Arabidopsis thaliana: one gene and its partner. The protein of the gene in region 1 interacts with the protein of each later gene in a pairwise test. Each region holds a gene or a part of one and is shown on either strand. Other genes may lie near its edges.

Region 1 (4,809 bases):
TTAGGATGATGGTTTATCGCGTGAACACCATTTTGTTTAAGTACGTGGTCATCGCAAGGTAACCATCTTTATTTTCTTGGGTTGATCTTCACTAGCTATATATTAACCAATTACATATGTATTATTTTGTACTGAAGAAAGGATATAATTTGTAATCGCCAAATGATTGAATTAGTATTTGCTAATTACAAAAATTTGTAGAAATCGCGATAATTATCAACTTTTTTACTATATCCCATCATTCTACTATTACGCAATGTTATCAATTGTACTAGTTTGTTTCATCCACTATGTAAAATCATTCAAACCCTAAAGTCGATGCTCATCAGCTCATGTATATGTATGTATCATGTATATGTACATAAGATATAAAACCTTTATAGATGTGCATGTAAAAGAATGGTAGATAGTAGTAGTAGGTGTGTAAGGAGAAAGATCTAGGGGGCTTCAAAAAAAGGAGAGAAAAGGACAGAGCATGTGAAAAGAGACAGAGAAACAAACAGAGGAGTGAACAGTCTTACTCTTTTTTTTTTCTATGCACTTAATGAACCCAACCCTCTCTGTATATTTCTGATTCTTCACATGTCTTCCTCTTCTTTTTTATTCCGAAAACTTTTCTTCAGTAAAAACCAATGCCGAAAAAAATACATAATAAAAACGACAAAATATCTAACATTTTTTATATAAAAAGGACAAAAGTACTTTCACTTCACTTGCAACCAAACAAACCTAGTCCCCTTCTTTATCCAATGGTCTCTCCCCTGCTCTCTATTTCTCATCTAAACACCCTTTTCTTTCTTTCTTATTTACCATTTTGCCAACTTATGTAAAAGATGTTAAGAAGAAAATGTGAAAATTTAGTAAAAATCTCTCTTTTGTATTGTCGTCAGAAACTGTAAAATAATCTTACTCTTTTTCAAGTCAGCATATAAGTTTGGTTTCTTCTCCCGAGTCAGAGATTCGTGCAGTGATGATACAAGAAGCTTATTCCGAATTCTTTTCATAAATACTCGTATTTCCTTCTTCTTTTTTTTTTTCTTTTTTTTAACATCTATCTGTTCTTCTTGCATCTATCTGATTTTCCTCTGTCTTTTAGACAGTAATAACAGAGCTCACTAAATGTAATAAATAAAAAAATGAGCTCAATAAAAAGGTAAATGGCACTCATTTTTAGGCCATCAAGTGTTGGGATACAGCTGAAATTAAAAAGGCGTCAGCTCAAAGGAAAAAATAAATAAAAAAGATTCCCAAAAATCAATGCACTTTTATAGAAAAAAATACACATAATTTCAAAAAATACTTAAATTTTGAAAAATAAGATGAAGAAAGGATTGAGAAGAGAGGAAAGAGTAGTCAGAGAGACAGGAGCATCAAGTGCTGCAGAAGAAGCAACAGGAACACTGGGCCTGAGTCTCTTCAGATTTGCCAGTCTTTATAGGACCACACTCTTCTTCTTCATCCCCCTTACATACATTTTATCTATTTTTACATTTTACAATATTGGATATTTTAATGTTGTTTTGATTTTACACTACATGGCAAAACTCCTTAAAAGCTCTTGTCCTGATGTGATTCTTTTTTCTTTTCAACACTGTCTAAATATCTCTCTCTTCTTTGTGATCACTCTTTGATTTATTAACTTTCTGATTACCATTCCCCCCAAAATAAACCCTACTAGAGTGTGACTAATTGTATAGTAATCTCTATTGTGTAATAATCTTTTATCTTTCCTCAATACAAAAAAGTAGGGTATATATATAAAAGAGGGAGTGGCCTCGTGTAGAGAAAGAACCTAGCTAGTGTTCATGCAATTTGCATCTGAGGAATATATGCTTAGAAAGAGAGAGAGAGAGAGAGAGAGAGAGAGAGAGAGAGAGAGAGATATCAAACCAGAGGAAAAGAGTGACAGAGAAAGTGGTCATCTTTGTCTGTCTCTGTCCGAAACTCAGGAGCCCTAATCTCTGAATCCATCAAGAAAGCTCTTTCTCTTCCTTCTTTTATGCTTCTGAATTTGCTACATATATAAACTATCTGAAGAAAGCTAGAGAATAAGATGATGAGTCTAAGTGGAAGTAGCGGGAGAACAATAGGAAGGCCTCCATTTACACCAACACAATGGGAAGAACTGGAACATCAAGCCCTAATCTACAAGTACATGGTCTCTGGTGTTCCTGTCCCACCTGAGCTCATCTTCTCCATTAGAAGAAGCTTGGACACTTCCTTGGTCTCTAGACTCCTTCCTCACCAATCCCGTAAGCCCTATACCTATACTTAATTTTCTTTCTTTCATGTTTTCTTTTCTTGCATAAAGTTTCAATCTTTTGTTGATTCTCATGCCCCCAAAGTTTTCAGCTTTATGTGTTTTAGAGTGATTTGGTTTCTGGTTAAAGTCTCTAGCTTTTTTTTTCAACGACCACTTTTAAAAACTCAGTTTCCACAGTCTTACTTTTAATGATTTTGGAACTTAAGGTCCTAATTAGGGTTTTACATCATGATTAATTTTAGGGTTTCGTTTTAATTAAATGATGCAGTTGGATGGGGGTGTTACCAGATGGGATTTGGGAGAAAACCAGATCCAGAGCCAGGAAGATGCAGAAGAACAGATGGTAAGAAATGGAGATGCTCAAGAGAAGCTTACCCAGATTCGAAGTACTGTGAAAAACACATGCACAGAGGAAGAAACCGTGCCAGAAAATCTCTTGATCAGAATCAGACAACAACAACTCCTTTAACATCACCATCTCTCTCATTCACCAACAACAACAACCCAAGTCCCACCTTGTCTTCTTCTTCTTCCTCTAATTCCTCTTCTACTACTTATTCTGCTTCTTCTTCTTCAATGGATGCCTACAGTAACAGTAATAGGTTTGGGCTTGGTGGAAGTAGTAGTAACACTAGAGGTTATTTCAACAGCCATTCTCTTGATTATCCTTATCCTTCTACTTCACCCAAACAACAACAACAAACTCTTCATCATGCTTCCGCTTTGTCACTTCATCAAAATACTAATTCTACTTCTCAGTTCAATGTCTTAGCCTCTGCTACTGACCACAAAGACTTCAGGTTCTGTGATCTTATCTTTAGTTTCTCTTGTTGATCTTTTATGGAAACTTTTATTGATGGATTGTTTTTTGAATTCAGGTACTTTCAAGGGATTGGGGAGAGAGTTGGAGGAGTTGGGGAGAGAACGTTCTTTCCAGAAGCATCTAGAAGCTTTCAAGATTCTCCATACCATCATCACCAACAACCGTTAGCAACAGTGATGAATGATCCGTACCACCACTGTAGTACTGATCATAATAAGATTGATCATCATCACACATACTCATCCTCATCATCATCTCAACATCTTCATCATGATCATGATCATAGACAGCAACAGTGTTTTGTTTTGGGCGCCGACATGTTCAACAAACCTACAAGAAGTGTCCTTGCAAACTCATCAAGACAAGATCAAAATCAAGAAGAAGATGAGAAAGATTCATCAGAGTCGTCCAAGAAGTCTCTACATCACTTCTTTGGTGAGGACTGGGCACAGAACAAGAACAGTTCAGATTCTTGGCTTGACCTTTCTTCCCACTCAAGACTCGACACTGGTAATTAATTAATCTGCAGACGTAATCTTATGATCTATGCTAATTATTGATAGTTTCAAAATTAGTTTAAATTTATTTTCTCAGGTAGCTAATTAAGTAGAGCTGGCATCAATGATGGATCTGCACCAACACACACAACTGTGAAATGTTGAAGAAGAGTCACATTTCACATCTATTTCCGTGGAACAATGAGACAAGACACTGTTTGCAGAATCCTATATGTATTTTTTCTATCTTTTTCTATGTGTGTTAGGTCCAACAAGAAAAAGTGATCCGACAGATATATCTGTATGTGTTCTCTTGCTTTCTCAAGAAATCAGATTTTATTTTACTGTCGCTGATAGCAACAAAAGAAAACATGACTTGATTTGTGAGGGGTATCGTTATATATAATTTATTTGTTTCTTAGGATGCAAGCATCTATATAGTTTCACACATATAATCTAGATTTTTTCTAAGGCCATGTTCTGATTAACTTACTTTAAATGTAAAACATTCATGCAGAGGAATAATAGTAGACTAGGTTGCAAATTCTGTAGGGCAAAGGATACGATTATCCGCAATTAGTTAAAGTTTTATATGTAAACACAGACACAAATAATCAATTACTATCTAAATGGCTGTATGTTGAGATTATCCGCAGGTTATGAAATGACGTTACATAGGCCCAAGTCTTGAATCACGCATTTACGAAACGAGAGTATGGTCAAAACTCTACATAATATGGCAAAACATTAAACTTATTATTATAAGAAGAAGAACCATAAATTTTGTTGTCGTTTATAGAAAACAAACAATCATATACAACTTTTGGTGTATGCTTCCTTCCATGTATGTGCTCCTTTAGCAAAAGGAAAGATGGGAGAGTTAAAAGACAAAACGTCATGACTCTTGATCCATTAATCCTTTTACGTGCGTATGAGTACTTGGAATCATTGGTCATTACCAACATTAATCTTATATTTTTAATATAAATCTCATACGTATAAAATATGTATGCTGAGAATTTTTAAAAGCATGTTGCCACCGAAGATTCTGTGAACGGAATAAGGTCCAGATTAAAACCAGCTCATCTTTGGTCATACCAAACAAAAACGCGTCCTAAACACTTTCATAGTAGGGAACAACAAAATCAATATTATCATTCTTCAACCATGTCAAACTATCCTAACCAGACCGGTTTCCATTAACCGAATCAGGTCAAGGAACTTTC
Region 2 (5,087 bases), on another chromosome or scaffold:
TAATGTCGTAAAAATTTAATATTTCTTTTAGGTATTAACCAAAATGAATTGATCATTTGTAAGCGTTTCAGAATCCTACCTTTAACTTCATAATCTCAATTTACAGTATGCAAACAACTATATTGGTCTGATAAAAAAGAAGAAATGGTATTTTTAGTTTTGTTCCTAGTGTTTTTGGTTTGCTTTTAGATGGCATAGAAACACTATTGGTTTGGTTATTGTCTATAAGACATAATTAATCGGGAAAAGAAAACAATTCATTTATCCTTACAGATTACTTTAATGTTCATACATAATACTATAGTTAAACAAACAAACATTAAAAGTTGAGCCTCCGTGGTTCATATATGCAGAAGGAATATCTCGGATCCATTTTTGGTACCAACGAATAAAGTGTTAATTAATATTTAACCACATCTACAAGAGGGTTTAACGTGGAATTAAGTATAACCACGCAAAGATAATATAGCTGTTGAATCTTTTTCTTTTTAAATTACCGACCATCGAAACGTACTTCAAGAATTCGAACAAAAAGTTAATGAGACTTATCAAATAACTCCAAACTAATTATTATTATTTTCTTTACAAAAGCATTTCAAAAACTTTAGAGACCCTTTGGTTGAGAATCATCAATATTAAACATTCAAACCAAGTTAGGGCAGTGTTTTGATGGTCGATAACTCGTCTTATTGGTCGAGACAAGTGATCGAGTTAGTATTAACATATGTAAAAAAAAAGAAACATGTATTGATCATTGTTGAGGATAAATTTCATCTATTAAGATATCAGTCAATTATAATGTGTTACGTGATTCGATAAAAAAAAAAGACCAAAAAAAAAAAGAAGATAACTATTGGTAAGCGTAAGAAATGTGTTTACATTTTGGCATTTTGCCAAAACACATAAAGATGGTTAGTGATGAGACGAGACGAGTCATGCGCTACTTTTAAAACAAAATGAAAAACATCATTAAGCTAACAAACCAAACACACTTGTTTTGATAACATGTTCTAGGGAACTAGTTATGCCAAATCTAATCCGCATAAGAAGACTAAGTCACAACATAATTCAGTAATTTGGTTGAGATTAAATCCTATAAATATGATTTTAAGGTATAAGAGAGAAGAGACTCTTTTGATCAACACAATCAAACATCTACAAAGAAAATTATCTCACATAGCTACTTCTTAATCTAATTTTTTCATTAATCCATTTTATTTTAAATGTGAAGAATCGCATCTAGATGTGACCTCTCATGATAAAAAATTAAACCATTGTAAAAAAAATGTTGTGTAAAACTAAATATAATAAATTATTAAAAAAATACAAATTCAATCCACTAGGTTAAAAACTCCTATGTAGAACATTTTTTTATATTAAAATGTAAATACATGAATCTTATTTTTCGAAAAACTAAAGACATCTTTTTTTTATATATTAATTACCAAAACAAAATAAGACGACAAAAATATTCTTTGATATAGTAAAAGAAAACTAGAAAACTAGAAAACAATAAATTACCAAAACAATCTAGAAAACAATAAATCCTACTTTGCATTACTTTATTATAAAATCCCGAAATGAATCTATAAATGTAGAAAATATTATACAAAAGTTGTAAGAGATTTTAATATACATAATTACATATATATACAAGTAAATACACCGTATATACATACGAAGGAGTAAACAGTATTATTTGGTATATAGTTACGTCTCTATATACGAAGGGTTCAAACTTCAAAGTAATAATTTAATCAACAATGTGTACATATTGATAAGTAGTAGTATATATGTAAAGGTCTCACGTCTCTATAATAAAGTATGACTCGTCACGTGACCTCCTCTTCTTCGCAGAGACAGAGATAGGATGAGACAGAAAGAAACCAACAAAACCAAACCCCAAAACCCAAGAAAAAGAGAAAAACACTCTCTTCTCTTCTCTCTCTCTCTTTCTATTTAAGAGACTTCACTGTCTCTCTCAGTCTTTTAACGCAAAACAACTTTTGTGGAGGAGAGAAAGCGAGATAACACACACACAGAGATACACATCTTCAATAGTTAAGAGTTTTCTATATACAGAAGCATAGAGGAAAGAGAGAGAGACAGATACAAAAGTTAATATCTCTCTCTCTCACTTGGTGAGACTTCTCTTTTTCCTCTGGGTTTTGTGGTGGGGGTTGTCTCTATAAAAACTTATATATATAAAATATATAAATAAATAAGAAGGAATTATCAGGTTTTATATAAAATAGCAAAAGAAATGCAACAGCACCTGATGCAGATGCAGCCCATGATGGCTGGTTACTACCCCAGCAATGTTACCTCTGATCATATCCAACAGGTTCTCTTCTCCTTCTCCTCCTTCTCCTTCTTCTTCTATTATATTATCTCTTTCTTTTTTCTTTATTATATGTTTCTTTGAATTCATAAAGGAAAGTGAAGAAATCTCTCTTGCAAGTACCTTATAACTTTTTCTTTATATTATATAAAAAAGTATGTGAAACCCTTTTCTTCTGTTCTCATAACATAGATGATTTTTTTTCATTGGTTCTTTTTTGTTTGGTAAAAGAGTTCTTGTTATTCTTGTTTCCATGTCTTTTTTTTTCATAGAGAAATTAGTTTTAATACATGTGTGTTTATGTTTGATAAATTTGGTTGGTAGAGATGCTTTGGTCACTAAGATGATTCTTTCAACTTTTTTTCTTTTCCTTATAGATTTGGTGTATTATCAGTTAACTTTGATGCTAATTAAATGTCTAAAACCAGACAAAGTTAAGAAAGATTCTTTCTTTCAATGAAAATGAATGTTTAGGGTCCAGTTGTGTTTTGAGTTCTTGAAACATGTAATGAAAAATAACGTGTTCAAAACAGACAAATCTTGGGAACTGAAGATTTGTTTCACATATCTCGTTTTTTCTTCTTGTCTTGGTTTTCGGGTTCTGGAAGTTTCATTGATGGCAAAAACCACAAAGCCATTTATGTGAATATTGTGGGTGGTCCTGTTTAGATTTGTTATCATTATAAGTAGATCTATGTGTATTTTCCAGTCCAAGTGTTTCTTTTATTGCTTACATGACCAGATATACTTTGTGGTCCGAAACAACATCTGGTCCTTATCTCAGTTTTTTTTTTGTGTGGTCCTCAAAATCTTTTCGAAGAAAATCTTTCGTTACACTTTTGTGATATTTCAACATTATTGTCTTTTGAGATAAGTCGGAATTTAAGTTACTGGGGTCTCCTTTTGAGATTTTCTATGTCTTTATTACAACAAAAACAAAATAGTATGCAAATTTTTTGTTTGTAGCATTAGTAATGATTAATGAAAATGTTTGATTGTAGTACTTGGACGAAAACAAATCGTTGATTCTGAAGATTGTTGAGTCTCAAAACTCTGGAAAGCTTAGCGAATGCGCCGAGTAAGAGACAACATATCTCCTTTATGATTTCACTTGTGTTCTGTTGAGTAACAAGAAATGATGATTAAAATGGTTATAGGAATCAAGCAAGGCTTCAACGCAACCTAATGTACCTAGCTGCAATAGCAGATTCTCAGCCTCAGCCACCAAGTGTGCATAGCCAGGTGATTGTTTATACAGTGAAGTATTCCAAATTTTGTTGTATGATCAATTGAGAAAGTGATTTGTTTTGTTTGGTTATTAGTATGGATCTGCTGGTGGTGGGATGATTCAGGGAGAAGGAGGGTCACACTATTTGCAGCAGCAACAAGCGACTCAACAGCAACAGATGACTCAGCAGTCTCTAATGGCGGCTCGATCTTCAATGTTGTATGCTCAGCAACAGCAGCAGCAGCAGCCTTACGCGACGCTTCAGCATCAGCAATTGCACCATAGCCAGCTTGGAATGAGCTCGAGCAGCGGAGGAGGAGGAAGCAGTGGTCTCCATATCCTTCAGGGAGAGGCTGGTGGGTTTCATGATTTTGGCCGTGGGAAGCCGGAAATGGGAAGTGGTGGTGGCGGTGAAGGCAGAGGAGGAAGTTCAGGGGATGGTGGAGAAACCCTTTACTTGAAATCATCAGATGATGGGAATTGAAAGAGTGTGGCACAAGGAATCTTAATGATGAAGCAGCAGCAGCAGCAGAAGAAGTAGTAGTAATAATAGGAGTCTTGAAGTTAGTGTGTTTTGGTTTTAGTTGCTTGTTGAAGAAGCAAAGAACTCTTTATTTACTTCTTTTTAGTTTTGTTATTCTCTCTATGTTTGTTCCCTAAAACAGTGAACCTCTTTCGTGGTAGTGTACCATGTAAATCTGCTGGCTCCAAGTTGTGTCGTAATCTTAATATGTTATTTCTCTGAGTTAGACTCTTTTGCTTTAACCAGGACTGAAGTTTTGTAGATCATTGATGTTACCTATTTGGATTCTAAATCGTTATGTAGGCTATATTATTGTTTTTTTTTTCTGGCTGTTATACATAATTTTATTTTATAGTTGATAAAGTCCAACCGGTTCAGTCCAAGACTCATATGACCAGCCTTAGTGGTCCTCGCAAGGTCCCATACTGCTGAAGACCGGACCATAGCCACCCGAAGCTGCACTCAAACCAAAGACCATATTCGGGTCCATTTAAGATAAAGTCTCGTGAAGAAAAGAGGGTTTCAAAAATGTGTCTTTTGGTCCCTTTGCTTCGTCCTAGATTCTTCAAGTAGTATTGAGTGTGGATTTCCCTTAGTTGAGAGTTCCATCGACGATTGTTTTTCTAGTGTCTGGATTCCCCTAGGAGGCCAAGCCCAGCCCCTGCTTTTTACAACTCAATCACAAGCCAAGAGAAGTCTTCAGTTATTCTATTACTTCCTTCCCTTTGGCAAAACTATAAGCCTTGAAACAATATGTCACAAACACTAGTTAAATGTTTAGACCGCACCACCATAGGCCCCAAGTATGTATTTGACATGTTGGCTTCATGCCTGCTCTACTAGACTTCATTTTTGTCTAACTGGTAGTGCGCTATTTCGAAAACTAGATAGATTTGTCATATCTTCTTCTCATGACCAACACATTATTCTTCTTCTTTTGTTCACATTGACATGGTATTATAAAGGGTAATTTGCGGACCACACCCTTTGACCAT

Evidence for each region.
Region 2: the proteins of GRF5 (region 1) and AN3 interact in binary tests that used the Arabidopsis thaliana proteins (3 or more experiments, as listed by UniProt).

The regions. Positions count from the first base shown.
Region 1 is NC_003074.8:4,606,473-4,611,281, forward strand, and holds GRF5 (growth-regulating factor 5), read left to right. Parts: upstream 1-1,603; 5' UTR 1,604-2,053; coding exon 2,054-2,252; intron 2,253-2,531; coding exon 2,532-3,063; intron 3,064-3,141; coding exon 3,142-3,596; intron 3,597-3,680; coding exon 3,681-3,688; 3' UTR 3,689-4,025; downstream 4,026-4,809. UniProt on the Arabidopsis thaliana protein: Transcription activator that plays a role in the regulation of cell expansion in leaf and cotyledons tissues.
Region 2 is NC_003076.8:10,646,797-10,651,883, reverse strand, and holds AN3 (SSXT family protein), read left to right. Parts: upstream 1-1,821; 5' UTR 1,822-2,263; coding exon 2,264-2,344; exon of another isoform or gene 2,345-2,496; intron 2,497-2,508; exon of another isoform or gene 2,509-3,342; coding exon 3,343-3,419; intron 3,420-3,498; coding exon 3,499-3,583; intron 3,584-3,663; coding exon 3,664-4,053; 3' UTR 4,054-4,417; downstream 4,418-5,087. UniProt on the Arabidopsis thaliana protein: Transcription coactivator that plays a role in the regulation of cell expansion in leaf and cotyledons tissues.